Macaca mulatta: one gene and its partners. The protein of the gene in region 1 interacts with the protein of each later gene in a pairwise test. Links are inferred from orthologs where the notes say so. Each region holds a gene or a part of one and is shown on either strand. Other genes may lie near its edges.

The links.
Region 2: the proteins of GLRX3 (region 1) and PLSCR1 interact in binary tests that used the Homo sapiens proteins (3 or more experiments, as listed by UniProt). The two-hybrid records come from large-scale screens. The link is inferred for Macaca mulatta from reciprocal best matches to the Homo sapiens genes GLRX3 and PLSCR1.
Region 3: the proteins of GLRX3 (region 1) and MAP3K3 interact in a two-hybrid assay, tested with the Homo sapiens proteins (2 studies listed by BioGRID and IntAct). The link is inferred for Macaca mulatta from reciprocal best matches to the Homo sapiens genes GLRX3 and MAP3K3.
Region 4: the proteins of GLRX3 (region 1) and CIAPIN1 interact in binary tests that used the Homo sapiens proteins (3 or more experiments, as listed by UniProt). The link is inferred for Macaca mulatta from reciprocal best matches to the Homo sapiens genes GLRX3 and CIAPIN1.

What each region holds. Positions count from the first base shown.
Region 1 is NC_133414.1:142,207,877-142,215,525, reverse strand, and holds part of GLRX3 (glutaredoxin-3), read right to left. Parts: intron 6,159-7,649; coding exon 5,986-6,158; intron 5,749-5,985; coding exon 5,687-5,748; intron 3,533-5,686; coding exon 3,475-3,532; intron 1,394-3,474; coding exon 1,341-1,393; intron 1-1,340. UniProt on the Homo sapiens protein: Together with BOLA2, acts as a cytosolic iron-sulfur (Fe-S) cluster assembly factor that facilitates [2Fe-2S] cluster insertion into a subset of cytosolic proteins.
Region 2 is NC_133407.1:49,510,011-49,517,659, reverse strand, and holds part of PLSCR1 (phospholipid scramblase 1), read left to right. Parts: intron 1-3,927; coding exon 3,928-4,145; intron 4,146-7,430; coding exon 7,431-7,473; intron 7,474-7,649. UniProt on the Homo sapiens protein: Catalyzes calcium-induced ATP-independent rapid bidirectional and non-specific movement of phospholipids (lipid scrambling or lipid flip-flop) between the inner and outer leaflet of the plasma membrane resulting in collapse of the phospholipid asymmetry which leads to phosphatidylserine externalization on the cell surface.
Region 3 is NC_133421.1:73,425,018-73,432,666, reverse strand, and holds part of MAP3K3 (mitogen-activated protein kinase kinase kinase 3), read right to left. Parts: intron 4,390-7,649; coding exon 4,268-4,389; intron 2,183-4,267; exon of another isoform or gene 2,164-2,182; intron 2,067-2,163; coding exon 1,974-2,066; intron 33-1,973; exon of another isoform or gene 1-32. UniProt on the Homo sapiens protein: Component of a protein kinase signal transduction cascade. Mediates activation of the NF-kappa-B, AP1 and DDIT3 transcriptional regulators.
Region 4 is NC_133425.1:53,033,570-53,041,218, forward strand, and holds part of CIAPIN1 (anamorsin), read right to left. Parts: exon of another isoform or gene 5,662-7,649; intron 5,595-5,661; exon of another isoform or gene 5,454-5,594; 5' UTR 4,265-5,453; coding exon 4,108-4,264; intron 3,735-4,107; coding exon 3,582-3,734; intron 1,130-3,581; coding exon 1,053-1,129; intron 1-1,052. UniProt on the Homo sapiens protein: Component of the cytosolic iron-sulfur (Fe-S) protein assembly (CIA) machinery required for the maturation of extramitochondrial Fe-S proteins.

The DNA of each region.
Region 1 (7,649 bases):
GTTCTTACCTGACAGCTTCACCACTGAGCACATTAAAACTAGGAGCACTGCAATTTAACTTGCGTTACACCTCTCAGATCCAGGTAATGGACCTTAATATGCACCCCTCAGCTTTTTGTATTATTTAGCAACTAGGATATTTGAGAAAAATTAAAAACTACCTATAATATGTTCTCCCTGAAATATATTTATGCATGGTGAGGACTCAGTTACACATCTTCCTCTGGGAAAGTAGACAAATAGTTATTCCAAAGGTTGCCTAAGGACCTCCTTTATGTTACTAATAGGTTGACACTGGCCAGAAAATACTATTTTGGTCTAAGTTAAGGCATTCATAAAATAATACAGCAAAAATAATGAAAAGATACAAATATTTATGGATATAGACATTACAACTGAGAAGCACCAGTGGCAGAACGGAAAAGTTGAAATATTTTTTTCTTTTTTTTGAAACAGGGTCTTGCTCTGTCACCCAGGCTGAGTGCAGTGGTGCAATCACGGCTCACTACAGCCTCACCCTCCAAGACTCCAGTGATCCTACCACCTCAGTCTCTCAAGCAGCTGGGACCACAGACATATGTGACCATGCCTGGCTTATTTTTTTATTTTTTGTGGAGAAGGGGTCTCACTATGTTGTCCAGGCTGGTCTCAAACACCTGGGCTCAAGCAATCTTCCTGTCTCAGCCTCCCAAAGTGCTAGGATTATAGACGTGAGCTACTACGCCTGGCCAGGTTGGAATTTTTTGGTTTTTTTTTTTTTTTTTTTGAGTTTTAAAAGTTTAACTTTATTTTTTTTACTAAGGTCCAGAAATTTCTGTAAGACAAGTACATTAATGAAATGTTTCCAAAGAAATACTGAACAATATACACTCTAGTTTGCTGAGGGGTCCAGCTCAAAAGTTCAAACCTAATTCTTGTGCAATAAAAATCAGCATGGATAGCAGATGATCTAGAATACACTGTGTTTTGAAATCCACAGCTGGTTTCATTTTTAACCATAATGAAAAACCAGTACTCCTATTCCATCAAATGTGTTTTATAAGCAATAATAAATTCAGATCCACTGTATTATGCAACACACATCTTTGGAAAGCAACATCAACAGTGAGATCAGATCAGTAGAAATATACACAGTGAAAAGAAATACACAAAGTACTGTAGTTTTATTAAAAACTACTACTTGAGAAAGAAATCTTTCCACAAATAGCATACAACTGTAGAATGATGAAAGGATTTGGGAAAGCTTTACGAAAGCTTAATTCCAATTCTATCTTCCTGAGAGTGGTGGCAAAGGGTATTTCCTTCCTTCTCTGGGACATCTGAAAACAACATTTACATACCCAGTACTATTTAGTATTTCCAGAATTTGTTTGCTGAATCCACATTTTGCTTCCTAGATGAAAAAAAAATTTGTAAAGATTACATTTTTTATATGACCCAAGCAGCATGGTTGTACCTAAAACTCTGTCAATCAGCACAGCACTTGTCCATCGTGGTTGCCACTGCTTTCACTCAGCTAGCAGAGCTTCTGCTAATCCCTTCTTCAAGTACGAACCATCTGCACATCAACCCAGGCACACGTGACCCACAGACTTACTTTGGTTTGTAACCACTTGAGATGACATGTGTTCCAACAGTTTATAATCTCTGTGGTCAAAAAGTTCCTCTAAGTGAAACCTAGATTTTCTACAAAGATTTCAGTTCATTCTTCACTTCACTCATGCAAAATGATCTTAACTCACTTAGTCTTTTTGCAATGATTATGACAATTATTTTCCCATTTCCAACTGGACTCTGACTCCTTTTTTTTTTTCTTTTTTTTTTGAGACGGAGTCTCACTCTGTCGCCCAGGCTGGAGTGCAATCTTGGCTCACTGTGACGTCCACTTCCCAGGTTCAAGCAATTCTCCTGCCTCAGCCTCCAGAGTAGCTGGGACTACAGGCGCACGCCACCACACCCGCTAACTTTTAGTATTTTTAGTAAAGATGGGGTTTCACCATGATGGCCAGGATGGTCTCGATCTCTTGACCTCAGGATCCACCTGCCTTGGCCTCCCAAAGTGCTGGGATTACAGGCATGAGCCACCACGCCCGGCCTCATTTATTTTTACATTACAGAATACTAACACTTTTTTGAGTTTATGAAAATCTTAAGCTTTTTTCATGCCACAGGACTCCAAATTCCAGCAATCTTGTGGAAAAGATACGGTACCATGTAAACATTTTAATAGCCCTAATAACACTGTTTCCAAAATGTATTAAAACTTTCTAGGTTTCCAGAAAAAAACAGTTTTGAGAATAAATATCCGCTTAAACAATTACCAAGAATAAGAAAAAAATGTCACTTTATCATTACTAGGAATTATTAACTTCCTCTATTGTTTCAATACACTGAAGCAAAACCAAAGAATTTAGGATCTAACCTAGTGATTCCAAAATGCTGAAATTTATATTAACATTTTATTTGTTACTGTTACTTTCATTACCTAATTATATTAACCAATTAGTTATGTTAACTAATTAGCTTCATTATACTAGTTATGTAACTTACACACTAGTTATGGCAACCAGAGTCTGCCCTGTGAAGAAGTATTGAGTCCCTTTCCCAATGAGCAAAGTGGCAAAGTGGTTCTCTGTGTCACTTGCCCAGTGCATCTGGCTAACAAGTGAGGCAGTTTCTTTATTCCAACAGCCTCACCTTTCAAAGCTTTGGTTTCTTTATCTCTAAAATAGGCCAAACTCTGTCCAACCCTGCCTACTTCAACAACTGATTGAGAATTAAATAGAGGTTCAATTGCTATGAAAACTACAAAATATGGCATAAATGTGTATGGCTGGTTTCTGGAAATTACCACTCTGATCTCAATCTGAAAGAAAATTAGTTCTGCTCAAACTATTAGTGGAAGTAATCTATCAAACTTGATATTCAAAATGACGCACAATCAATATGCACTTTCGTCAAAAAGCTACAAGAACCATCCCATTACAAATGAGAATTGCTGACCATTTCACTCATTCATCAAACACTACACACAGCACACCTGCTACAGCCAGGGTTTGCTCCTCCACTGTCACAAAAGGACGATCTAGGGGTGCAAACCCAAGCACGACCAGGTTCCCTGCATTCAGGAAGTCCAGTGACTCAGCTGCACACTCCAGCAGTCCACAAACTCCAACAAAGGATAATGAAATAACAACTCATACAACCAGTAAAGTGTTAACAGTGTTGACCACGTTAGCTGACAAAGTTTGGCAGCAGAAAGAAATGCACCCCACTGAGATGTTGATGATAAAGTCAAGCAAAATGTAGATTACTTTGTTTGATCTCCGTAAGCACCAATTAAGGCCTGGATAACTTCCTGATACCGCTACAGCTTCATTAGCTAAAGCTAGGAAAAAGAGATTTAACTGTCCCCTTGTTGCAGATGTTAACATCAAAAGAAATTACAAATAAAACCATTTTTGAGTTCTTTACCTGTTTGTTTCCTTTCATAAAGAGCATCACAGAAGCTTTATTTGTCAGCACTTTGAGCCTAAAGAGAGAAAATTGATATAAAACGGCTCAGCTCAATTATGCAACACCACTTTTCCTCCGCTTCGTGAGTAACATGCATATTTGAGGGATGGCAGGATGACAGTTCACAGCTTTGAGTGGTATTAAACAAGCAAATGCGTTGACATTTTCCTTGATTTCATTCTCTCCCTAAGCCACTGTAAAACACAATATGGCTTTTAAGGCAAAGAATGTTCCTTCAAGTTGCAATTTAAGCCCATCAACTCACAGTAATAAAAAAATAATAATAACAACCAATTCAGTAAGGAATTGTTCAATAAGGGGCCTATATATTAAGCCCATCCAAAACTTCCAGAACTAGATCTTGTGAGCACCATCTTCCATCATGATGCTGCACACCACTGTACACGTGTAAAGCTCACAAGGTCAGACTGCAGGGTGACAGCATTAAACCTCAGAACATCAACTAATGCCAGATGCTAAAATCAAATACTTTCATCTTAACATTATATTTTATACAGTATTGCCAACATCATAATCTAATATGTTATCAGAAATTTTAATTATCTGTATACAGCCACAAGTTTAGTCACAAATCTCAGGAAAAGTCAGTGTTGGGACGACAGGTCACTAAAGAACCTAAGCTCCATGGGGTCACGCCACCATGTTCTCCCAATTCAAGGCTCAAAAATCTCCTTATAAACGAATCCCAAATGAAATGCATAAATCATGCACAAAGCTGTATCACTTACATTGCCAACCGAGTGGGATTAGCTCAAGTTCAGAAAAATATGAATGGATACAGGAATACGATGCTGACCCTGACAACCCAATAACTAACCCAGCCACCTGGATACAGGGAACCACAGCTCACAATGTACTGCCAAAATACACGTCACAAGTCCATGAACTCCACTTCCTGCACTCTGCTCACTAGGAGCCCTTTAAATTATTACTCAAAATATGCTGAATTTTACTTTCTACATAATTCTAGCCAGTTACCTTTCAGTGTCCGCAAGCACAGATTTAGAAACAGCACATTTAGGAAAACAAAGGCCCAATGGAGACAAGGCCATTAACAGCAGCAAGTGTACTCAGCAGAGAAGGAAAATCAACTGAACAGCGAATACAAGCATATAAAAAGCACAGCTGTCCTTGGAGAACACACAGCCTCCATGGGCCATGGGCATCACCAGGCTACAGGCAAGAACCACACATGAAGACGCCCAGAGTCAACAAAGGGATGCGGAGCATCACTCTCTCACGAAGAACGCAGAAAATGGTACAAACCACAGGACAGAATGCAGTACTCAAAGATCAGCCTTACATACGTGGAATGGAACATTATTTATAGAAATTATTAATTAACAACAGACAAATGAGGTAATTATTATTATTACACACTTTTAGAAATTCTCAAGATGTTACATGGCAAAAAAAAATTACCAAAGGAAGGTTTATCTTACAATCTCCAGCCCCAACCTATGAATGGCTGATTGCTGATATAGTAAGTTCCTCTTTAAAGTTCTATATTAATTCACATTTACTGCAATAAAAATCCTATTAAGTTGCCTTATACACCAAAGTCCAACGTTTCTGTAAGAGAACTTCTCCAAAAGCCAAGTGAGATCCTTGACAAAACAAATACATGTTTCACAGCCCCAAAACCTGCTCATGTAAGTTCTCGTGGTCTAGAAAGGCCATGAGAAGTGCCCAAAGCTTGTTGCGAGGTGATGAGCTTTTCACACTCACCACTTGTCACTCAGTGCTCTGGCGTTGGGGCAGCACCCGCAGCAGTCACCAAGGCTGCACCCAGGAAAACACGAGTGTGCTGAGGTTACGCCAAGGAGCAGTGACAAGACAACTGGACCCTGGCTCTGAAATGCAGAGAGGTAAGCAAAATTTGGTTGTTCCACAGAAACAATGACATTTCTATAAAAGCAAAGAAGGTCCTCCACATGATCATTAAGTTGGTGCTAAAATTTCTCCAATCCAAATTAGATTTGCCAAAGTTTGCATGGCTAGTTTGACTAAACAATGAAATTATGACCTCTGGCATACAAATACCAAATCCTTGATTTCTACACAGAAAGAGCAATGCAAAACCTGAGGACTTTAAAATATTTTTAACATATTAAATGACAGACTATTTAAAACTTTCCAAAACACTTACCTTTCCTCTAATTTGGGAGCTTTGGGACAAATTGTATCTAGTTCTTCAGATGCTTCTAGCTCCTAAAATAAGCACACATGTCAGTTTTATAAAAAAAAATTATTATAACATAAATCTCCTTGATCACACCATAACACAGCTTATTGATCAATCAACTAATCAGAAATACTGTGTATTCATTGCAGGTTCTTATTAGTAAATATAGATTCATAAGAAATTTGTATCTTAGATTTATCACACTTTAAAAAGTATGCTCTAAATGGAATTTATTTACAAAGCACAGACTTCTCAATTCTAACCTTAATTATATCAAGTCCTCCTATGAGCTCTCCAGAAACGTAGAGCTGAGGATAGGTAGGCCAATTGGAATAGGCTTTGAGTCCCTGTCGAACCTCTTCATCTGAGAAGATATCAAAGCTGCTAAATTGAATATTATGTTTGTGAAGAATTTCCACCATCTGCTTGCTGAAACCTGTACACAAAAAAAGAAAATAAAGCACTTAGCTTCTCTCTCTCGAAACATGTACACATGATAATACATTAGTTCAGCATACACATCATCTAATGGACATAGACGCCTGCCTTATTTTGCTGGTGATTTAATTAGCATGGCTGGATAGTATACAAACAGAAAATAAATTCCTGGATCCCCTTATTTGACCTTGAACCATATCACACACTCAGATATGACTTAACTTTTTGACACAATTGTGAGTATTAAAAAAAAAAAAGTGGTGTGTGTATTTATTAAAGTTACTCTTCAATATCATGGACATTTTTTGTCACAGAAGAAATAGCACTAGCCAAAAAGCAGAGACCTGAGGGTGATGGTGCATACCCATAATCCCAGAGACTAGGGAGACTGAGGTAAGAGGATCACTTGAGACCAGAAGTCTGAGGTTGGAGCAAGCTATGAGATTGTCACTGCACTCCAGCCTTCAGTCTGAGTGATAGAGCAAGACCCTGTCTTTAAAAAAAAAACAGAAATCTGAATCTGACACCTGCTCCCTCCACCCACCAAGGTGACACATGATGAGGCCATGGGTGGCCTCCGCTCAGCACTTTCCTAGTAATCAGGAGACCTGACGCTCTGGACAGTCCCTCCCAGCCTTCCTGTTGTGAACCTACAAGAATCAATTCTGGGCAGAGGAAAAAATTCTACAATTGTTATTTTTAACTACTACTTGACTATACTAAAAACCCAATGCTGTTTCGTTTCTACTGCCATTTTACTACTTCCTGAGTTCCCACTTCGGTAGTTCTCAATCTTCACTATCTCTAAGTAGGATAAATTAAAAATCAAGAAGGCTTGTGTTCTCCTGTAGTCTGAAACACACACAGTACATTGAATTTTAAAGCTATCTTCTCTGTTGTTATATATGAACCATCAATAGATTGACGGTATTCATTCTCATGTCATAACTTGACAGTTTCTTTTTTAAAACTATTTACATTCCCTAAAGTATGTAATGTAATTTTTTTTACTACACTATAGTGACAATTTTATGTTCCATGATTTTATTATACTTTTGTGACACATTTTTATTCTGTACTTTTTTGACATCATCTTATTATGACATTAGAACTGAAGAATAAGAGTGTGAATATCAGTCTTTTATAAACCTATTAGCCTAGTCTGGAAAAAAAAAGTATTTTTCTTTCCATAAGCTAATTCTTCTCCATTGTTCCCAGTACTTTGTAGGGCCCTACTCTTTCATGCCTCATTCTTCTTCTCAAACACAGTTATAATTCACTGGAAAAGAACCTATTCTTCAGATTCAAAATTTCTAAAAGACTTAGTAGTATCAGCAATTGTTTTTAAACAAAATCAAACCATAAAATTCAATATAAGATTAATTGCAAGAAAGGGCTTTACTGATGTCACCCAAAATCATATTTACTATTAAAACATGGATCTACAAGTGAGCTCCAAACATTTTCCAAATCTGCAGTTTATTGAGAT
Region 2 (7,649 bases), on another chromosome or scaffold:
ATTTAGGAAATTTATTTCTGATAAATTGAGTCATGTAGCTTGGCATGTGTTCAGTGAGAGTCACATCAAAATGATAAGACTGCTTAAAACTGGAAGTAATAGAAATTCAGTTACGTGGGAATAATTCTCATTTTAATTTTATAATATATATGAAAGCTTTATTTTTGTATATATACTGATTCAGCCCTGTATTTCTAAGAAAAATAATTGAGTCATTTGACTACGTATGCAATTGAGTACATTTTTTCTTTTCAACCAATGCCTGAAAGAATTCAGAGATTTTCATTTAGGCAAATGCAGTTATCCAAAATACTAGAACTTTAAAAATAGCAAAGGCCATAGCATGTCCAGATTTACAAGCAGGCAGGCTACCCAGATCTTGAAAGAGCATCCTGGGGATTTAGGATCAAAGGGAATGTGGGTTGGATAGAAGGATGTACCCATTGTATGCTCTTCCCTGAGTAAACAAATGTGCTTAGGAGCTGGTGTCATGTTTAATTGCCTAGCAAGAAACCTCCCTGCGTCCTGGATCTCATCCAGATGTTTGCAACTAAAAGAATATGAGCTAGATAAGCTCAAAGACTCTCAGGTGGTGGCTCATGGGAACCATGCCTGCACTGAAGTATCATCACCCAGAACCACTTCAAAATAGTAGTGCCAGGGCACTATTCCAGAAAAATTAAATCATAGCTTCTGGTGGTGGAACTTAAGGAATAGTAATCTTTTAACACCCGAAGTCATTCTAATGTGAAGCCAGGGTTGAGAACCTCTGCTCCAAATTCTTACAGGGTTGCTGTTTGGAAAATCATTAGTAAGTCTATAATAGTCATCCAAGGCACTTAAGAGAATTACGTAATCCACCCTATCACTAAATTAAAAGTGGATATACATAAATAATACAGTTCAGATATAATCAGACTTGAGAGTTTGCATATATATATATATATATATATATATATATATATATACATATATATCACTCCACAGCTTTATTTTGTTTCTCAAGTCCAGGATTACATATAGCACAAGTCTTAAGATAACAATGATGCTAACAGTAAGGATAATTTAAAATTGAGAGCTTACCATGCTTTAGTTATTGTTTTAAATGTGGAATTAATGTGGATTAATACATTTAATTCTCAGAAAACTCTTATGAGGTAAATATTGTTAGTTATCCCCATTGTGTATGTGGGAAAGCTGAGGCATAGGGAGTTTGGATCAGACTTCAGGTTCTGCCTGCTTTAAAAAAAAAAAAAAATTGTATAGGTAAATGTGCTGGTAAACTAGGTTCTGCCTTCTTTACTGATACTTATGTGGTAGTCTTAAACAAGTTGCAGTACCTCAAAGCCTCAGTGTTCCTATCTATAAATGAGGGTGATATTTTCAATGTAGGTTGCTTTGTAGAGTAAATGAGAGTATATGTAAAACACTGAGCACAATGCTTGCAAATAAGAAATGACAAGTATTTGCTAACATATTTAAAATATTTTAAATCAATTAGTCTTTACATAAATGATACTAGTATTCAAATTTCAGGTAATTCTTTATGCTTAATTCATTCATTTGATGAGTAATCAATCATATTTTCAGAGTCTGGGGGAAATTATGATGATGTTAAAAATGTGAGAAATTAAATCACATCTCCACATACCCACTGGTCTGCCTATGGTCTGGGTTCTGTGCTGACGCCAGTGATCTTTAAAAATGTAAATCTGCTCATATTACAGAGAGTGTATAACCCCTATTTTATTAGTGTCCTATTACTTTTAGGATAAAGGCTAACACTAAACCCAGGATGGCCTTTTCCATGCTCTCTCTTTAACCTCCTCTTGAGCCTGGCTTGCTGCTATTCAGCTAGACAGGCTATTTTTCAGATTTTTAAAGGCCTATGTTAGTTATTGTCCCAGGACTTTGCTCTGAAATGTTCTTTCTATGACTCTGGCCTCCTGAACTCCTGTGCATCCTTCAGATCTCAGCGTAAAGGTGACCCCTCAGGGCAGCTGTTCCTACTCCTTCCCTTTTTCTCTTCCCATCTCAATAGCGACCTTTGGCATCTCTAGTCATAAAACCGTGGTCTCTTACTTGAAAGCATTTATCTCTTATTCTAATTAATCAATTAATTACTCTGGTATTATAGCTCCCTAGAATAAGTGGGGATTTAAAGTTGTCTCTCTCATTAAACAATGATGGACAGGGATTGCATCTGTGTCTTCCATTGTAAATTCTAATACTTTTCTACTCCTGAAAATTTTGTAAGATATAAATAAGACCATGGAACTCATTCTTCTGCTCAGAATCCTCCAGTACTTGCCAATCATAATTGGAACCAAATCCAGACTCCTTACTAAGGCCTCCTTTGATGAACAGCTTCCTATTGCTTTGCTAACAGCATGTCAGATTCATTACAAAGTCAGAGGTATTCTATTTGCCTTTCTTTCCTCCTGAAGCATTTCTCACTAGATCTTCATATAAAGCTTTTCTCATCTTTTAGACTTTGATGGAAATTATATTTACCTAAAGTAACTGCCTCATGCCCTGCCCTCCCTGACATACATTCTTCTCCATCACATTCATATGAATTTTTTTTGTTCTAAATGTGTTTTCTTTCTCTCAGAAGTTGACTGTAAGCTCTCTGACAGCAGGATGCCTCCTTGAGATTTGTGTCCTCATATTCTACAACACAGCCAGTCACATTATGGATCATTTGTAAATATTCATTCATCATAAAGGAATAAATTATAAAAACTTTATTTATGATGCATTATTGTGAGGTTTAATCTGTTTATCTAAGCCTTATTTTTTAAAGGCAAATGAATTTTGTCATAAATGTTCCATTTAAAAGAATGTATACATTTCCTATTCTAAGTATTGCATTTTGCATAGGCTTTAATGTTAAAATATTGAGAAACACAGTCCTTTGAAATTATATTCCACTGCTATGGAATTTTGTGGACCATCCAAACAGGCATATAAATCTTCATTGTAATCACATATTCATAGAGAATATGAAGTACACTTACTCTTATTAAATTTCTGCCTCTACTCTGCCTCTTACAATTTTTTCCCATCCTTATTTCTCAAATTATATTTTCCAGAGACCAAAGGATGTTAAATTGTGAAATTTAAATTTCTAACCTAAATATTACAATGAAATTTTCTTTTAATGAAGAAGGACTTAGGAAAGCAATACATTATGGATTAAAACATAATGCAAAGGATTAACTCAAGCAGGTATCTGGAATGTACTGAAAGAAATGACATGCTTTCACCTTCAACAGTGGCACTATAATATTTTGGGCTGGACAATTCTTCATTGTTAGGGAGCTGTTCTGGGTCTTTGAAGATGTGTAGCAGTAGCCCTGGCCGCCACCCACCAGATGCAGTATTATCTTCCCCTCCAGTTGTGACCAAAAAGAGTCTGCAAATCTTGTCAAATATCCCTGGCAGAGAGGGGGCAAAACTACCCCCAGTTCTATACATACATTATAAGTCATTTGCTAGAATTTCAGAATTATCATTTTTCACAAGGTACTTTGGCCCTAGAAATGCTGACTCAAAGCCATTATTTTGGGCCTTCTACCAATGCCATGTCTGTTTCCCTTGAGGCTTGCCAGAATCTTTATGTAGGTGACTGTAGATCATGGTTATTTACTTTCATTTTCTCAGATATTAAAGCATATTTTCCATCTGAGTTTTGAATGGTAAGGGTAAGGCTATTCACTGCCTGCTATCCTCAAAACAGAAGTGGATATGCAACCACAGATATTTCATTGAAAAATCTCAGAAAGATAAAAGCATATCTTAAACATCACAGATACAGATTTCTATGCTGAAATGTCAACTTATAGATATATGGCGTAACCCTAAAATGGTTGATGATTCCATCTTTGGTGCAGTTATAAATCATTTCACTTGTTTGTATTTCAGGACCTCCAGGATATAATGGCTACCCTGGGCCCCAGGTTGGCTACCCACCCCCACCAGCTGGCCATTCAGGTCCTGGCCCAGCTGGCTTTCCTGTCCCAAATCAGCCAATGTATAATCAGCCAGTATATAATCAGCCAGGTGGAGCTGCAGGGATACCATGGATGCCAGCACCACCGCCTCCATTAAACTGTCCACCTGGATTAGAATATTTAAGTCAGGTAATTTCAAAGACACAAAATACTCATAAAAAACAGAACTGTGCTTCCAGCTTGCTTAACCAGATTAACAAATGAATAATTCACCAAAGTCTGAAATGGCAAAACTATATATTCTGCTAAGAGATTACTCTCATTCTTTTAGGTCAGGTTCAGTTTTAAAGCAAAACACAAATGCCTTAGAAAATTGTACTTTCTGTGATCTTAAATACAATCTATGATAATGGCCAATAACAAACATTTAATTAACACTGTTTTCCTGTCTTTGTTGTATGCCTGATACATGTATTAACTCATTTAATCCTTATAGAAAGTCTATGATGTATAGGTGCTACAGTTATCTCCATTTTTCAAAAGAAGAAACTGAGGTCCAGAGAAGTTATATAGCTCCCTCTGGGGTGAGAACCTAAAGAGTTGAGACTGTTTTTTTAATCCCCAAACTTTGGTACTGAGCAAAGTGCTCTTTAATCTCAATACTGAATAATTGCTTTATAATTTGAAATAAAATTTAAATTAAGTTTATTTTTGAGTTTCAATAAGTGGCACCAAACAAGGGGTTAATATTTTATGTGTAATACAACTCACCTTTTTATTGTAACTAATACAACTGCATTTTTATGATGCTGCTTTTGTTCTTTGGAAGACCCAATTTTATAAATGCCATTAATAAAGGAGTAAAAAGTCCTGGATTTTGTTGCACTGAATTATAATTAATCTCAGCAATAAGAGGTTTAACATTTATTTGGTGTTAAAAATCAGGTAGATCAAATAGAAACAAGAAACTCCGTGTGTCCAGCCAGTTTTCATTTCATAAATCACTTCTTTCTTGCACTATCTTTAGTAACTTAATTTCCCACAATGCACTTAAGTGGCACAATCATAGGAATTTTGGGTCATTATTGTATTATGCAAGAAATACACAGAAATAGATATTTTAAAAATCAGGGTCTCATAAAATACATAAAGGATGTTATCACATATGACAAAGGCTGATATTAAGTATGCTTAATACAAATTTGAAACTTGTAAAAAAATCTCTTTGATGGCTAAAGAAGTTATCAATATTTCTTGAGCCTCCTCAAGAAGGAAGACTGTTTTCTACTTTTCAAATTGTTTTTGACACATAATAATTGTGCATATTTATAGAGTACAGTGTGGCATTTTAATGCCCATGTACTATGTGTAATGAAAAATAAGGATAGTTAGCATACTTATCACTTTCAATATTTATCATTTCTTAGTGTCGAAAACATTCCAGATCCTCTCGAAAATATACAATAAATTGTTAATTATAGTCAACCTACATAGCTGTGGAACACTAGAATTTATTCCTCCTATCTAAATGTAATTTTGTATTCATTAACCAACTTGTCTTTATAACTCTCCTCTCTACCCTTCACAGTTTCTAGTAACCAGTATTCTACTATCTACTTTTTTTTGTTGTTTGGATGGAGTCTTGCCCTGTTGCCCAGGCTGGAGTGCAGTGGTGCCATCTCAGCTCACTGCAAGCTCCGCCTCCCAGGTTCAAGCGATTCTCCTGCCTCAGCCTCCCAAGTACCTGGGCTACAAGCGCGCCCCACCACACCCAGCTCGTTTTTGTATTTTTAGTAGAGACGGAGTCTCACCATATTGGTCAGGCTGGTCTCGAACTGCTGACCTTGTGATCCGCCTGCCTTGGCCTCCCAAAATGCTGGGATTACAGGCGTGAACCACCGTGCCCAGCCTCTACTCTCTACTTCTAAGAAATCAATTTTTTTAAGCTTCCACTTATGTGTGAGAACATTCAGTATTTTTCTTTCCGTGCCTGGCTTATTTCACTTAACATAATATGTCCCTGGCCGGTCGCGGTGGCTCAAGCCTGTAATCCCAGCACTTTGGGAGGCCAGGATGGGCGGATCACGAGGTCAGTAGATCGAGACCATCCTGGCTAACCGGGTGAAACCCCATCTCTACTAAAAAGTACAAAAAAACTAGCCAGGCGTGGTGGCGGGCGCCTGCAGTCCCAGCTACTCGGGAGGCTGAGGCAGGAGAATGGCGTGAACCCGGGAACCCGGGAGGCGGAGCTTGCAGTAAGCTGAGATCCGGCCGCTGTACTCCAGCCCAGGCGACAGAGCGAGACTCCGTCTCAAAAAAATAAATAAATAAATAATAGTAATAATAATAATAATATGTCCCTTAGGCTCATCCATGTTGCTGCCAGTGATAGGATTTCATTCATTTTTATGGCTGAGTTTTATTCCATTGTGTGTATCAAGAATGAATTTTTCTTTATTCATTTATCTATTGAACACTTAGGTTGATTCTATATGTTGACTGTTAATGCTGCAATAAGCATGAGATTGCAGATACCTCTTTGACATATTGATTTTCTGTCCTTTAAAATTTTTGTTCTGAAAATTTCGAAAAATTTGAAAAAATACCTTTTTAAAAAAAACAGTAGTGGGATTGCTGAATCATATGGTGGCTGTAATTTTAGTTTTTGAGGAACCTCTTCACTGTTCTCCATAATGGCTGCTCTGATTTACTTTCCCACCAACAGATTTCCCCTTCTCCACATTTTTACCATTATTTGTTATTTTTTTGTCTTTTTGATAATAGTCATTTTAACTGGACAAAGATAATATCTCATTGTGGTTTGGATTTCATTTCTCTGGTGATTAGTGATGTTGAGCATTTTTTCATAAACTTACTGGCCATTTATATCTATGTATGTATGTATGTATGTATGTATGTATTTATTTATTTATTGAGACGAAGTCTCGCTCTTGTTGCCCAGGCTGGAGTGCAATAGCACAATCTCGGCTCGCTGCAACCTCTGCCTCCTGGGTTCAAGTGATTCTCCTGCTTGAGCCTCCCATGTAGCTGGGACTACAGACGCCTGCCACCACACCCAGCTCATTTTTTGTATTTTTAATAGAGACAGGGTTTCACCATGTCAGCCAGGATGGTCTCGATCTCCTGACCTCGTGATCTGCCCACTTTGGCCTCCCAAAATGCTGGGATTACAGGCATGAGCCACCTCAATTTACTAATTGTTAAAGATACTCCAGTGTAAATCAATTATATTTGACCTGAATTTTTCCACATTAATAATGAACACAATAAATCTTTTATTAATTAAAAATATTAACTTCAGTTTTATACTAAAAAGTAATATAAGCTATTAAATATTGATAACTGATTACATGTACTTTAAAAAATATAAATACATGAATTTTAATTTGGTTAGCTTATAAAAACCTTCATTTGACATATACTTACCACTCATTTTTTTTTTTCCTGTGACAGATAGATCAGATACTGATTCATCAGCAGATTGAACTTCTGGAAGGTATGTATTCATTGTTTTAATCCTGTTTCTATACAGAGTAGAAGTTTATGCAGGTAAAGGCACATAAACCTCCACAAATATAACACTCTCACTTATATGGGACAGTTAAGCCGGTTATTTACAGTAATAAACATCAGCAATCCGTTTCTAAAATTTAGGAATCAAAAGGTAAAATG
Region 3 (7,649 bases), on another chromosome or scaffold:
GGAATGCCTCCTTGTCTTCCTCCTCATTGTCGCTGCCAAACAGGTCAATGTCATTGTCCTCGTCACCCTCTGCTAGTGCGGCTGCCTTCTTGGCTGGGGGCTCCACTTGGCGCATGGGAGACACATGCTGGATCTGCACGGCTGTGTCCCTGTGGCCAGACAAGCTCTTCTCCAGCATGTTCAGTCATAGGCCAGCACTCTTTTCACTATACTAAGTTGTCAGACCCATAGAGAACTAACACCTATTGATAACGCACTGTGTGTCAATGACTGCTAAAGGGACACTACACATCATGGCCTGCAAAACTATCCATAGGACCCAGCCACACGTAGGATGTGCCACACATCTAAGAATATTCAGTCAGCTCTAACCATGCTGTAGGCTTCCAGAGACCCAATATACAAAAGGGAGAATACAGAGAATGCTCCTAGTGTACAGTATTCTCTGTACTCCTAGAATACAGAGAATACAGAATCTACCTCCTAGAAAATAGTTAATAGCTCATTGCCCACGTACTTCCATAGCTGCCTATTTGTTCTCAAATCCATTCTCTTTTTCAATTACTTACCAAGCTTGTTTACTTAGGGAAGGGGATGTCTCAAGTCTTGCCAAGCAGAGATATTAAATTAGATTTTTCAGTTCTTCCAGGCCTCGGCCCCCAAATAATCCTGTTAATGAACCCACAACTCCTCTGGCTTTCCTTGCTGGGCCAAGCTTGAGCCCCATGAAGCTGTGCCAGTCTCAACTCTGTCTTGTAGCCAGCACTGCCATTCTCATAGTGAAAGGCTGTTAGCCTCTGCCAGCACCATTCCACCCTTGAATAAACAACCTTTTCAGCTAGCCAAAATGCTTAGTTTCTTTCAACTAGGATTCTGCAATTTGAATCTGTAATCCAATTAGACATTTCTTAACCAAATTTGGCAACTCTTTACCATTTAAATTAGGTTTTGATCTTTCATTCCTCTCTCTTCCTAAGCATGGACTTTCTGGTAGAAGAACTGGTAATGAAGAAAACTATTTCATTCTGTCTCAGGCCAAGGCTAACAAAAACTATGATAATAATAATAAATGTGTAACTCTGTGAATTATAAAGTCCTATGTTAAATAATAATTAATATCACCAGGCTCTTTTCATTATATTAGGCTATAAATACCTCTCCCCCACATCTTCCCCGCACTGCCTCTTACCCCGTCTTTCCTAGAGATGCATTTGCTGAGACTTTGGCTTTTTCTGCTTTCAGAATTTTGCTGAAGAATATCCCTCTTGGTCAGAAGTGAAACATCTGCTACGCTTCCCAGGACAGGCCATTCTATAACCTTGACTTCATTAAGAGGAAAAGCTATCTTAGCATTTTATTTCCCCTTTTGCCCATATTAACATAAAACTTTGAGCTTCAATTTCTAAACAGCCATACTAGTTCCACATCTTCACATTCTTCCTAAAACAGAATCTTAAGATAGGATTCCCATTATTAGCTTATCGCAATGTATAGAAACTCATGACGTGTGTAAGGAATGAACATACTAATGAATCTCTACACATCTCCAAGCATATACATAATTTCTTGCCCAATAAATCAACAGTCCCTTACATAGTACCTAAAGTTGTGCTGTCCAATACAATAGCCACCAGCCACAAGTGGCTGTCTAAATTAATTAAAATTACATAAAATTTAAAATTTAGTTCCTTAGTTGCTCAACAGACACACGTGGCTAGTGGCTACAATACCACATTGGACAGCACAGATATAAAACATGTCTGTCATCACAGAAAATTTATTGGACAGCACTGATAGAGGCTGCTTATCAATAACACTGTTGTGAGAAATGGTGACTAGAAGCACTGAACACAGGTCACGGGTAACCAATACTTTTTACAAACAACTTGTTCGGGAAGTGAATTCCGCTGTTGCAGCATGAATAGCAGACTTAAAAGTACATTTTGGCTTTAACAGGTAATCTGGATCCTTACCAAAAATTTCTTTTTCTCACTGGCCCCTGCACATGAGCTTGTTGTTACTGTGGGGCTGTTCAGAAGGGCTGAGCTGCTGCTGTTGTGTTTTTTCTTTAAAAACAAAAACACTGAGGTTAATAATTTGTTTCCTTCGTGCAACATAAGTTTGACAACATTAAAGTAAATCATGGATCCAAAGATCTAGTACCTCTTGTTAAGATTACTTCCTGGCCGGGCACGGTGGCTCACGCCTGTAATCCCAGCACTTTGGGAGGCCGAGATGGGCGGATCACTAGGTCAGGAGATCGAGACCATCCTGGCTAACATGGTGAAACCCCGTCTCTACTAAAAAATACAAAAAACTAGCCAGGAGAGGTGGCGGGCGCCTGTAGTCCCAGCTACTCGGGAGGCTGAGGCAGGAGAATGGCGTGAACCCAGGGGGTGGAGCTTGCAGTGAGCTAAGATCCGGCCACTGCACTCCAGCCTGGGCGACAGAGCCAGACTCCGTCTCAAAAAAAAAAAAAAAGATTACTTCCTAACAAATAGTCAATCCTTTTTACAGTCTTCTGCCTTCATAACCACTGACTTCACTCTAACAGTGCAGCAGCAGGCACAGCAAAAGATCAAGACTTCCCTCATCACAGCTTTTAGGCTCTAAGCAGAAGGAGTCCTAAAAAGGAATCCTCCTTCAAGGAACTATCAGTAACCATTCCACCCCTCCTTTTCCCAGCCTGGACCTTTTGGGCCTTCCAATTCAAGAAAGCTTCCCCTTTTTACCCACTAACTGATACTCATGCCAATAGTCCAGTGTGGAGAAAGATCAGCTAACTGGAGCAGTGTTACCAAGCACACTCTACATAGGAAGACAGGAAGGAAAGTGAGGTCATTAGGCTCAAGCATGGGGGAGGGGACTCACTTCTGGTAAAATGCTCCTTCCAAAAGTGGCTTTGAATACAAATGAGTTATAGCAAGGGAGAACTCAAACAGTCAGACAGAATAACATCTGAAAACAGTGTAAGAATGGGCCCTTATCTGTTTATATACCTCCAGTACTGTAAGGTAACAACAACAAAAGCAGCTTTTTAAACTAATCCTTCTGTTTTAACATGAAACAAAAGGACTCCTCTTCCCTTGGGGTCCCTAGGATTCCTAAAGGCAGGAAATACTCTGGAAGGCTCTATCTAGCAGACCACAGACAGGAAAAGTTCTAGGGCCTTATACTATCTCTAGGAACCAATTCTGAAGAATTGGTAAACAAGATGCAAATGAGAAGAAAAGAGGTTAGCTGATAAACAGAACCACAAGGGAGAATGCCATAGACAAATTTTCATCAAATATGCCCAATATAGCTGATGTAGCATTAGATACCGACTAGGAAGGAAAGCTCCCCATCATTCACTCCTCTCTGCAGGCCAAAGTACCCAGGAAACAGGTAAGTGGCACTACGGGTGAGAAGAAGATTCTCAATGACACACAATTTTAAATGTTAAGAAAAATAGGCAATGTTTTCCTAAGGAAGCATACAACTCTCAATAAAACAGGCACTATCAACTACCTGGGTTAATAAGGTAAAGCAAACAGTAATAACAAAATCACTCATTATTGCCTTTAGAATATACTATGTGACATTTTAATTAATAAATTTACCTTCTTAATTATATTTTACATAAGCTAATACCAAATTAATTAGTTTTTCCTGATTATATACTGTAAGGTAGCTAAAAACCTTCTGACTTAGGGATCATGAATCTGAATTAAATATTTCCCAAATATCACTAAAGGGGAAAAACGTATATGAATACTGTCCCCATAACAGATGAAATGCTTACAGAAGGCTTTAAGATTCCAAATCACAGATCCATAACTGCATGGCTTTTTTTTTTTTTTTTGAGACAGAGTTTTGCTCTCTTGCCCAGGCTGGAGTGCAGTGGTGCCATCTCGGCTCACTGCAGCCTTTGCCTCCCAGGTTCAAGCAATTCTCCTGTCTCAGCCTCCTGATTAGCGGGCCTACAGGCATGCACCACCACACCTGGCTAATTTTGTATTTTTAGTAGAGATGGGGTTTCACCATGTTGGCCAGGCTGGTCTCAAACTCTTGACCTCAGGTGATCTGCCTGCCTCGGCCTCCCAATATCACTTACCATTTAACCATACCTGGTTGGTATGTATTACTTCCCATTTAACAGACTGTGAAAGGAAGGGGTCAAAAGTATTCAACCCTGGTAATGTAGTCTCCTTGGCTTTTCATATATTTCCCATTTGAAAACCCCTCCCCAACAAATCTCATTTAGCTCTGCCAGGGTCACACACACCTGCCTATTTGAGTGACCTGTGTCTTTGTTCTTCATGGTCTCATATCCAGGCATCCGGTGACGTCGGTTCATCTGGAGGGCCACCAGATCGTTCATGATTGAGTTCAATGCCTCCTGTTCGTCTGCAATGAAAGAGAGCACATGGACTAAGATACTTAAATACAGACCAGCAAAGTTCTTTCACAAACTATATGACTAATACTCAGGGAGTTCTGCCCAGGCAAAATGACAGACCCTGTAACTATAATCAGATGCAGCCCAAAAGGTCAGACTATGGCAATTTGAATTTTAACGGAATTTTTTTTCTTTGAGACAAGGTCTTGCTCTGTCCCTCAGGCTGGAGTGCAGTGGCGTGATCACAGCTCACTGCAGCCTCGAACTCTAGGGCTTAAGCGACCTTCCCACATCAGCCTCCCGAGTAGCTGGGAACACAGGCATGGGCCACCATGCCTGGATAATTTTTTAATTTTTTGTAGAGACGGGGTCTCCCCATGTTGCCCAGGCTGGTCTCCAACTCCTGGACTTCCGTGATCCTCTTGTCTCGGCCTCCCAAAGTGCTAAGATTACAGGTGTGAGCCACCATGCCTGACCTTTAATGGTTTCTTAATAGCCCTCCAATCAGATTTCCTACAGCAATATTTACCAATTAATTGCAGGGAAGGGACATGCTCAAACAGAGCAGTTTGTCCAGTGCCAGAGAAACTTAACCAGGAAAAATAGATGAAAAGTTGAAGTGAAGAACAACACAGTACAATGTAATATGGTATTGAATGAAAAGATAAATCCAGAGAGCAGATTATGGCACAGTGTCAGTCCCAGACTTATTCTTAAAGCATCATAAGGAGGAGAGTACATTTTAAAAGGTACCAAATAAGGGCCTCAGGTAACTGTTTTGAACAGAAGTTGTTTTACAAGCCTAGCATCTGAATGCCACCACCACCATCAACCCCCACCAACTCTTTACAAGTTTATAGGCCTTCTACTTCCCATAGGGAAGTCAAAGGGTAGTTCTATTGTTTTTCCTCCCTAAGCTGACCAAGCAATGCATTGTCTCCACCTTACTGCCATTACTTTTAATCCCCTTTTCTTGAAATAGCATGGAGTACTAGAGTTCTCATACATTAAAAACAAATGGCCAAAACCCAGAACACAAACCAGCCCAAGTCTATGTTGTACAAATTTTTCCCAGGTCCTTTAAGATATATTTGCCCATTCAAATAGCATTTGGAGATTGAAAATGAATAAATCTGTTGATCGGGAAGGGAACATGAGGGATGAGTCGTTACACTTGCTTTGGTGAAAACTGACTCATTTGGGGACTTGGGGCACACCTTAAAAGAAGCAAATACAAAATATTCCACCCAAAGAGAGTGCTCATCTTCTGCCCTTTATCACTGCCCCTTGGAAATATTCTAATACCCTGTGGAAAGAAATGAACAGCGTGAAATGTAGGAAGTAAAACTGCTCCAGTCTCTTCTTCCACTACTGATTGAGTGACTGACTGACTGAGACAGGGTTTTGCTCTGTTGCCCAGGCTAGAGTATAGTGGTACAATCACAGCTCACTACAGCCTCCTCCACCCCCCAGGCTCAAACAATCCTCCACCTCAGCCTCCAGAGTAGCTGGGACTACAGGTGCACACCACCACGCCCTGCTAATTTTTGTATTTTTTATTGAGAGAGGGTTTCACCATGTTGCCCAGGCTGATTTCAAACACCTGAGCTCACGCGATCCTCCCTCCTTAGCCTCCCAAAATGCTGGGATTACAGTCATAAGCCACCGTGCCTGGCCCTTCCCCTTATTTGCCTCTCCCCTCTTCCTAGACCAAATCTGCTCTAGTGCCCTATATGCCCTCTGACGAGGTGCAGAAAAGGACAAAGTTGCCTATAAAGAGGCTTTTGCTTGTTCAGGACAGTAAAATTAGATTTAAAACTTGCAGGAAAATACCAGGAGCCTAACTTCCCATATGATTCCACTTCAAAACATATACAAAAGTATGTATGAGAGTGACATAGTTGTAATATCGAAAGCATGCAGTAAAGCGGATAATGAATGAGGAGAAAGTGGGTATCTACAAAAAGACATCTGTCAAAATTAACACATATAAATCCCATCAATTATTTTATACCTTCTACAATTTCTCTATAGCTTCCTTAAAGAAGGGAACTTGGCTGGACAGGGTGGCTCATGCCTGTAATCTCAGCACTTTGGGAGGCCGAGGCAGGCAGATTGCTTGAGCCCACGAGTTGGAGACCAGACTGGGGCAACATGGCAAAACTCCGTTCTACAAAAATACAAAAAATTAGCTGGGCATGGTGGTGCACGCTGTAGGCTCAGCTACTTGAGAGGCGTAGGTGGAAGGATCACTTGAGCCCAGGAGGTTGAGGCTGCAGTGAGCCATGATCATGCCACTGTACTCCAGCCTGGGCAACAGTGAGACCGTATCTCAAAAAAGGGAACTTGGTTTTTTGTTTTGATTTTTATCCTCACAACCAAACCTTAAAAACTAGAGCATAACATCTAAGCTAGGAAGATTGGTTTATATAATAATATGTATAGGTTTATATATTAAATGGCTTATATATTATTAAATATGTAAAAAATTGGACCAACTGTAATAATAAATTGGGATCAATGTAAGCAGGATTATGACTAGGTTTAAGCGTTTTCTGAGGAGCATCCAACAATACTCCTAAAAGCGGAATGCACAGTTATCAGTAACAACATTAACCACCCTAAGAATTGAGAATTTTCAGTTCTTTCAACTCAGATACTGAACGAAGACGGATGTGAATACACATACAGGCACACACATACACACACCACTTTTCAAGTCAGATCCACAAGTAGGACTGGAGAAATAATTTCTAATTCTGTATAAGATGATGTTATTATAAGAGCTGGTTTATCAGGTTGACAAATTCTGCTTCCAGGAAGCTAACCAATTCCTGGCATTACTTAATGAATAAACTTGTTTGGTAGTTCCAGAGCTGAGAACACAGTAGAGGCACAGTTTGGCACGGTCATCTGAAATCTGGGACAACTGACACAAGTGAATCAGGGTTATAGAATCTAATTTTGGGCCGGGAGCGGTGGCTCAAGCCTGTAATCCCAGCACTTTGGGAGGCCGAGACGGGTGGATCACGAGGTCAGGAGATCGAGACCATCCTGGCTAACACGGTGAAACCCCATCTCTACTAAAAAAATACAAAAAACTAGCCGGGCGAGGTGGCGGGCGCCTGTAGTCCCAGCTACTCAGGAGGCTGAGGCAGGAGAATGGCGTAAACCCGGGAGGTGGAGCTTGCAGTGAGCTGAGATCCGGCCACTGCACCCCAGCCTGGGCGACAGAGCAAGACTCCGTCTCAAAAAAAAAAAAAAAAAA
Region 4 (7,649 bases), on another chromosome or scaffold:
GCCAACATAGCGAACCCCCATCTATACTAAAAATACAAAAAATTAGCTGGGTATGGCGGTGCATGCCTGTAATCCCAGCTACTTGGGAGGCTGAGGCAGGAGAATTGCTTGAACCCAGGAGGCGGATGTTGCAGTGAGCAGAGATCGTGCCACTGCACTCCAGTCTGGGCAACAGAGCAAGACTGTCTCCAAAAAGAAGAAAAAAAAAATTAAAAAAAATAAAAAATAAAGAATTTAAGGCCCTACGTTATGTAAGAAATAACAGGCACATCAGCTATCATGCTGTAACATTTACCTCTCCCACATCCAAGAAAATTTTAACATCAAAGAGTGTAGAAATATAAACACTTCTGCTTAATTTAAATATTTCCACTGAATTGTCAGAAAAAGAACTTTGCCCCTAACCTATTCCAGCCTCCCACCAAAAATGTGAGGCTGAACTAGGTGACAGTGTTCACCCAGGCCTAGGATTCGGGTCTACTGAGAGGTGGGTGTTGGAAGCAACAGAGCTGCTGCTCATGCCCCTCAGCTGTCACTACCACTAAACTAGTACCAAGGAGACAAGAACAAGCCCCAGCCCACATGGGCCAAGTTGAGTCTCTTCGAAGTTGATTATTCTCACAAGTTTTTTTTTTTTTTTTTGAGACAGAGTCTCACTCTGTCGCCCAGGCTGGAGTGCAGCGGCATGATCTCGGCTTACTGCAAGCTCCACCTCTTAGGTTCACACCATTCTCCTGCTTCAGCCTCCCAAGTAGCTGGGACTATAGGCGCCTGCCACCAGGCCCAGCTAATTTTTTTGTATTTTTAGTAGAGATGGGGTTTCACCATGTTAGCCAGGATGGTCTCAATCTCCTGACCTCGTGATCCACCTGCCTCGGCCTCCTAAAGTGCTGAGATTACAGACATGAGCCACAGCACCCGGCCTATTCTCACAAGTTTTGTCCTTTGAAGCATCATGTATCTTACATGCAAAGCATTTCTTGTTTCCTAGTTCTAAGCAATACTGATTACCTCACCTGCAGGGCATCAAAGAAAGCTGTCTACAAACATACCTCTTTCACTTCCACAAGACCAGAAAGAGTCAGGGCTGAACACAGCTTAGATGCTGTCTTCACTTTGCTATTGTTATCTGCCAAAAGGAAAATCTCAATTAATAGCTTTATAGGTCAAAGTAGGAAAAATAATAAAGGCTCAATCCTATGTGGGTTAGCAAGCATTCAAACAATAATAACCAGGCGGGCATGGTGGCTCATGTCTGTAATCCCAGCACTTTGGGAGACTGAGGTGGACAGATCACTTGAGGCCAGGAGTTCAAGACCAATCTGGCCAACACAGCAAAATCCCGTCTCTACTAAAAATACACACAAAAAAAATAGCCAGGCGTAGTGGCACATGCCTGTAATCCCACTTACTTGGGAAGCTGAGGCATGAGAATCACTTGAACCCAGGAGGTGGGGGTTGCAGTGAGCCGAGACTGCACCACTGCACTCTGGCCGGCACAACAGAGTGAGACTTGATCTCAAAGAAAAAACAAAAAACAAAACAAAACAAAATAACCTATTCTGTTTAATGTACAGATGGTCCTTGACTTAATGATGGTTCTACTTATAATTTTTCAACTTTTATGATGGTGTAAAAGTGATACCCATTCAAGTAGAAACCGTATACTTCAGTTTTCACTAAACTACATGAGATACTCAGCACTATTATAAACAGGCTTTGTGTTAGATGATTCTGCCCAACTGTAGGCTAATGCAAGTGTCCTAAGCGTGTTTAAGGTAGGCTAGGCTAAGCTAAGCAATTACGTTTAGTAGGTTAGATGAATTACATGCATTTTCGTCTTAATAGCATTTATCAGGACGTAACTCCATTGTAAGATGAGGACAACTGTATATACATTTTAGTGATATTATTTTATTCTTCTTCTTATTATTATTTTTGAGACAGGGTCTCACTTTGTCATGAAGTGCAGTGGCATGATCTTGGCTCATTGCAGCCTCGACCTCCCAGGTTCAAGCAATCCTCCTGCCTCAGCGCCTACCAAGTAGCTGGGACTATAGGTGGGCACCACCATGCCTGGCTAATTTTTGTATTTTTTGTAGAGACGGGGTTTCGCCATGTTGCCCAGGCTAGTCTCGAACTCCTGGACTCAAGCAATGCACCTGCCCTGGCCTCTCAAACTGCTTCGATTACGGGTATGAGCCACTGTGCCTGGCCATAGTGATACTATTTTAACTTGACAAACACTTTTTTTTTGTTCAAAGTGTTTTTACCTAAGCTCTTAAATGTTATAATTCCATTATTATTATTTTTTTTATCACTCTGCTTCTTGAAACCCCTTCCAGAGGTTGTGAGATAATGACTATGAAAAGAGGCTTATGAACTGCAAAGTGCACAGAAATACAAGTATTCTTTCTGTATAGTTCTTTTTTGCTCTCTATATAGTTCTGACTGAGACACTGCATTTAGTCACGTAAGGTTTAAACTCCCAGCAAAGAATGCTGATGTATACTACACATAACACAAAGTTCTATTTCCCCATAAACAACGAACACCTTTATACATTTCAAAATACTTTCATTTCTATTATTCTATTTGATGAAATTGTTACATTTTGACTGAAAGTCTAGTGAAAAATATTAAAATCCAGAACTGAATCACTCTGACAGCTATACCACTGATCAAAAAATTTTTTACTTCATGAACACTGTCATTAGTTTCACATGAATCAATAATTACCACATCACCCCTAGAGTTCCAGTCATTATTTTTAAACCTTTTATTTTGAAATAACTATAGATTCACAGGAAGTTGGAAAAAACAAAAAAGTTCTATATATTAAGGAGGTCTTCACTTCGTCTCTCCCCACAGTAACATCTTACCCAATTATAGCCTGATATGAAGACCAGGAAATTGATACTGATGGTCCACATAGCTTTTTCAGATTTCATTACTTTCATATGTACTCGTTTGGCAGAGGGGGCTTTATAGTTCCAAGTAATTTTATTACATGTGTAGATATGTGTAACCACCACCACATTCAGAACACAGAATTGTTCCATCTATAAAGGAGAAGCATTATACTTCCCCTTTATAGCTCCACACACCCCTTTCCTCCCACTTCTAACCTCTGGCAAACTCTAATCTGATCTCCACTACTATAATTTTGTTATTTCAAGAATATGAATGGAATTGTACAGCACAGAGCCTTTTGAGATTGGCTTTTTTCACTCAGCTACTTCCCTTGATATCCATCCAAGCTGATGTACATATAGTTAGCGTGTTCCTTTTTATTGCTGCATCACTTTCCATATTATGAACATATCAAAGTTTATTCACCTGCAAAAGGACCCACTTTTAGATGGCAGTTTCCTTCTATTTTGTTACATAATGAGTCAGCCAAAGACTACAATTTCTCCAGATATGTTGCTTCAGATTTTAACAATAACTTATCCCCAAGGAAAAGGTTTTGCTATAGGAATACTGATCTCCCAATGATATTTCCTGCTCAGGGAGATGCAGCACACATGCTCAAAGACTCAACCCTGTCAAATGTGTTTTTCAAGTGAAGATCTCCTTACCTACAGCTGTCTCTACCGGCTCTTTCAGAAAAAGACATCCACCAGGCCGAAGGATCCGGGCGATTTCAGCCAAAATCTCAGCACTGTGCAGAGTGGTGCTTCCCGGGACTAAACCCGACAAAATAATGTCAAAGCTGGATTCTTTGTGGGCAGCTGAAAAGAAAAGGACTCTAATTAGCAATCATCTGGCCTGGGACAATCTCCTGGTCCCTTTCAACCCCCAACAAAGGCTACAGACCTCACCCTGAGAGAATGGACACCACTCGGTATCCATCCAAGAAGCTGGATTAATAGTAAGCATTTTAAAAAAACATGGAATAGCTACACAGAAAGAACATCATACTTATGGAAATCATCAACTACAATCCTAAGCTCAGTGTATCTCAACTGAAAAACAACCGGGTGACGAGCCACCACTATCACATGCCACCCTAAATGAAAACTCAGATATTAAGGAACCACAGAAATGCAACACTCCCACAGAAACCCCTCCAGCCTCATACAGACAACATGGGTGGGTACTTACACTGCAACAGCTGGTTGATGTTTTCCACAGACACATGGCCTTCATTGCCAGTTAACACTTGAAGCTTATCCACCAGACCTTTCAGAGCCTCCACTGGGGATGACTTATCCCAGACCACTGCCACAAACTGGCCAGCAGAGATCCCAAAATCTGCCATTCTTGCAGTGCAGTACTGATGGACCTAAAAACTGCTGGCCAAAAGAGAATCAAGACTGGGCAAAGACAAAGTGCAATTTAATCCATGAGGTATCATAAAATATGATTAGAATCCCAACCTAACTTGTAACCGCCCACTAGGGAATGCTGACATTAGAAACCCTACTGTATATGCTAAAGAGTCTGAATACATGAACCCCATTATCTCAAGTCTTCATAATCCCAACATTCCCAAAGAAGGCCGATAGCTTCCTTGGTGAGAATCCTGACTTGGAAGAGTCAACAAAGGGGATTAGAGGCAAATAAGAAGGTTGGAGGCAGAAAGATGATTTCCTCTTTAAGATAATTCAGCATGAACGGAATGCAAAACACATAGGACATCAATTAGGCAAAGTGTGACTCAGCAAGGAAGGCAAATAAATTGACAGAAATAATCCAACCACAGGTTCAATGTTTTTAAAATGAAACAACACATTTAAAATTTGCAAATTGAATACTGGTATTTTCCCTTTCATCAAAATATGAAAATTTAATTTCACTGACTCTGCAGTGATCAAGAATACTTACCACGTCTATACCATTTAATATTAGCCAGACTGTTCAAAGCATCTTCTAAACATTATCTCGACTAAATCTCAGAACAGCCTTAAACTAGATATTATTACCATTTTACAGTCTGGAAACTCAGGCAATTTACTTTGTCCAAGTCACACAACTAGTGGGTGTTACATGGATAAAGTGAGAACTAGGATTTGAATCCAAATTCATCTGACCGTAAAGCCCATGCTTTTAACCTTTGGAAATTTCCCTCCATAGATCAACTTTCTCTTCTACTTGATACTCAGGTGAGTATATAATACGCTCACAAAGAAAGTAGTTCAAGAGATAGTACTCTATTCAGTTCCTTTCATTCTTAAACATTAATGACACCAGTTTCCAATTTAACATAGCTCAAATAAATGAAACAAACAATTTCTGGTAGAGGGGTCAAACTTGGATTAGTTTTATGTTGAACATTTCAGACTTCTGCAGAGGTGGCCAACTCAGTGGCAATCATGCCACCACAGATACAGACTGAATTTAAGCCAAGTCACTACACTCTCGTTTCTTTTAAAATGTTGACTTCAGCTGGGTGCAGTGGCTCACACCTGTAATTTCAGCACTTTGGGAAGCCAAGCCAGGCAAATTGCCTGAGCCCAAGAGTTTGAGACCAGCCTGGCCAACATAGTGAAACCCCATCTCTACTAAAAATACAAAAATGAGCTGGGCGTGGTGGTGCACGCCTGTAATCCCAGCTACTCAGGAGGCTGAGGCAGGAGAATCGCTTGAACCTGGGAGGTGGAGGTTGTAGTGAGTCAAGATCGTGCTGCTGCACTCCAGCCTGTTGACAAAGTGAGACTGTCTCAAAAAATAAAAATAAAAATAAAAAAATAAACAATTATAGCTCATGCCTATTATCCCAGCACTTTGGGAAACCGAGGCAGGTGGCTCCCTTGAGTCCAGGAGTTCAAGACCAACCTGGGCGACATGGTGAAACCCCATCTCTACTAAAAATACAAAAATTAGCTGGGTGTGGTGGCAGAATCTGTGGTAGTCTTATGTGGTAATCTTATGTAGTCCCAGCTATTGGAGTGGAGGAGAGGGCCTGAGGCGGCAGGACTGCTTGAGCCCAGGAGCTTGAGGCTGCAGTAAGCCAAGATTCCAGCCTGGGTGACAGAGCAAGACCCTGTCTCAAAAAAACCAAAGTTTACTTCAAGTAACTCTCCTCTTTGCCTACAAAACATACGCAGGATGTCAAATATTTAACACTCAAGCATTAAATACTACAGCACTTTGATCTGTCACTCTTTTTCTAAAGGAGTTACTAAACGTTTTATTTGCTAGAGTGAAGTCAATTAGCCTTCTGGATCCACGGCCTCCATAATCTGGCTCTACCTGTATCTCCCACCACTCCAAAGTGATCCCACCTTATTCTATGAAAACCCTTTGCATTTTCCCTTAATTGTGCCTTTTATCTAGCTCCTTCTGTATGATCCAACTGCTAGCGCCCCTAAAAGGATGCTAAGTGTTATCAGACAAGTAGGATTCTTTAGTCATTTAACTCTGTTTTTTTAATGGCAGAGGGCAAGTAAAAATGGAAAAAGAAAAGAAAAAAAATTATACAAAAGAGAATAATTCTGGTTTTTTTTTGGTGGGGGGGTGGGGAGGATGGAGTTTCACTCTTGCTGTCCAGGCTGGAGTGCAATCGTGGCTCACAGCAACCTCCGCCTCCCCGGTTCAAGCGATTCTCACGCCTCAGCCTCCTGAGTAGCTAGGATTACAGACGTGCATCACCACACCCGGCTAATTTTGTATTTTTTTAGTAGAGGGGGTTGGTCAGGCTGGTCTTGAACTCCCAGCCTGAGGTGATCCGCCTGCCTCGGCCTCCCATAGTGATGGGATTACAGGCATGAGCCATGTGCTCAGCTAATTCTGTGGTTTTTTTGATTGTTAGTCCTGTTTTTTGAGACAGAGTCTCACTTCATCATCCAGGCTGGAATGCAGTGACACAATCTCGACTCAGTGCAACCTCCACCTTCAGAGTTCAAGCAATTTTCATGCCTCAGCCTCCCAAGTAGCTGGAATTACAGGTGGACACCACCACACCTGGCTAATTTTTGTATTTTTAGTAGTGACAGGGTTGTTGGCCAGGCTATTCTCAAACTCCTGACCTCAAGTGATCTGCCCGCCTTGGCCTCCGTGCTGGGATTAAAGGCATGAGCCTCCGTGCCCGGCCAATTCTGGTTTTTAAATCCCTAAACAGCACACAATCAAGAACTGAAACTTTTAATTGGCACATGATGTCGAGGAAGAACCCCTGCAAACTTTAAGGTGTGCCATATGGGATCAATCTCACATTTAAGAACCAGCCAGGCAAGATGGGAGTATAGATTGCTGGACATTAAGTTATCAGAATAAAAATGATCTGTTTCTAGAATGATGTTGGAATAGGTTCTTCCTTGGGATAACAGAAAAGGATGATAAAGACCCCACCTACTAGACTACTGCAACTTTGCACTGTATTTACAGAAAAACCCTCATGAAGGAAACGAGGGGCAAAAGCTTACTTATCAACTAGAGAAAAACAAAAAGCCAAATGTCTAGACCTTTTCAGCAACATTTATGGAGGCAGTTTTATAGGGCACAGGTTTTGAGTGCAGATGACCTAGGGTCCTATCTACCACTGGATCTTATGGGCATATGACCATAGATAAGTTACTAGACTCTTTGAATTTGTTTTTTCATCAGTAAAGTAGGGATAATAACCTCATATTTTGCGAGGCTGCTGTAAGAAGCAAATGAGAAGATAATAATATGTAAGGCACTCGGCAGGCTCTGGCACACAG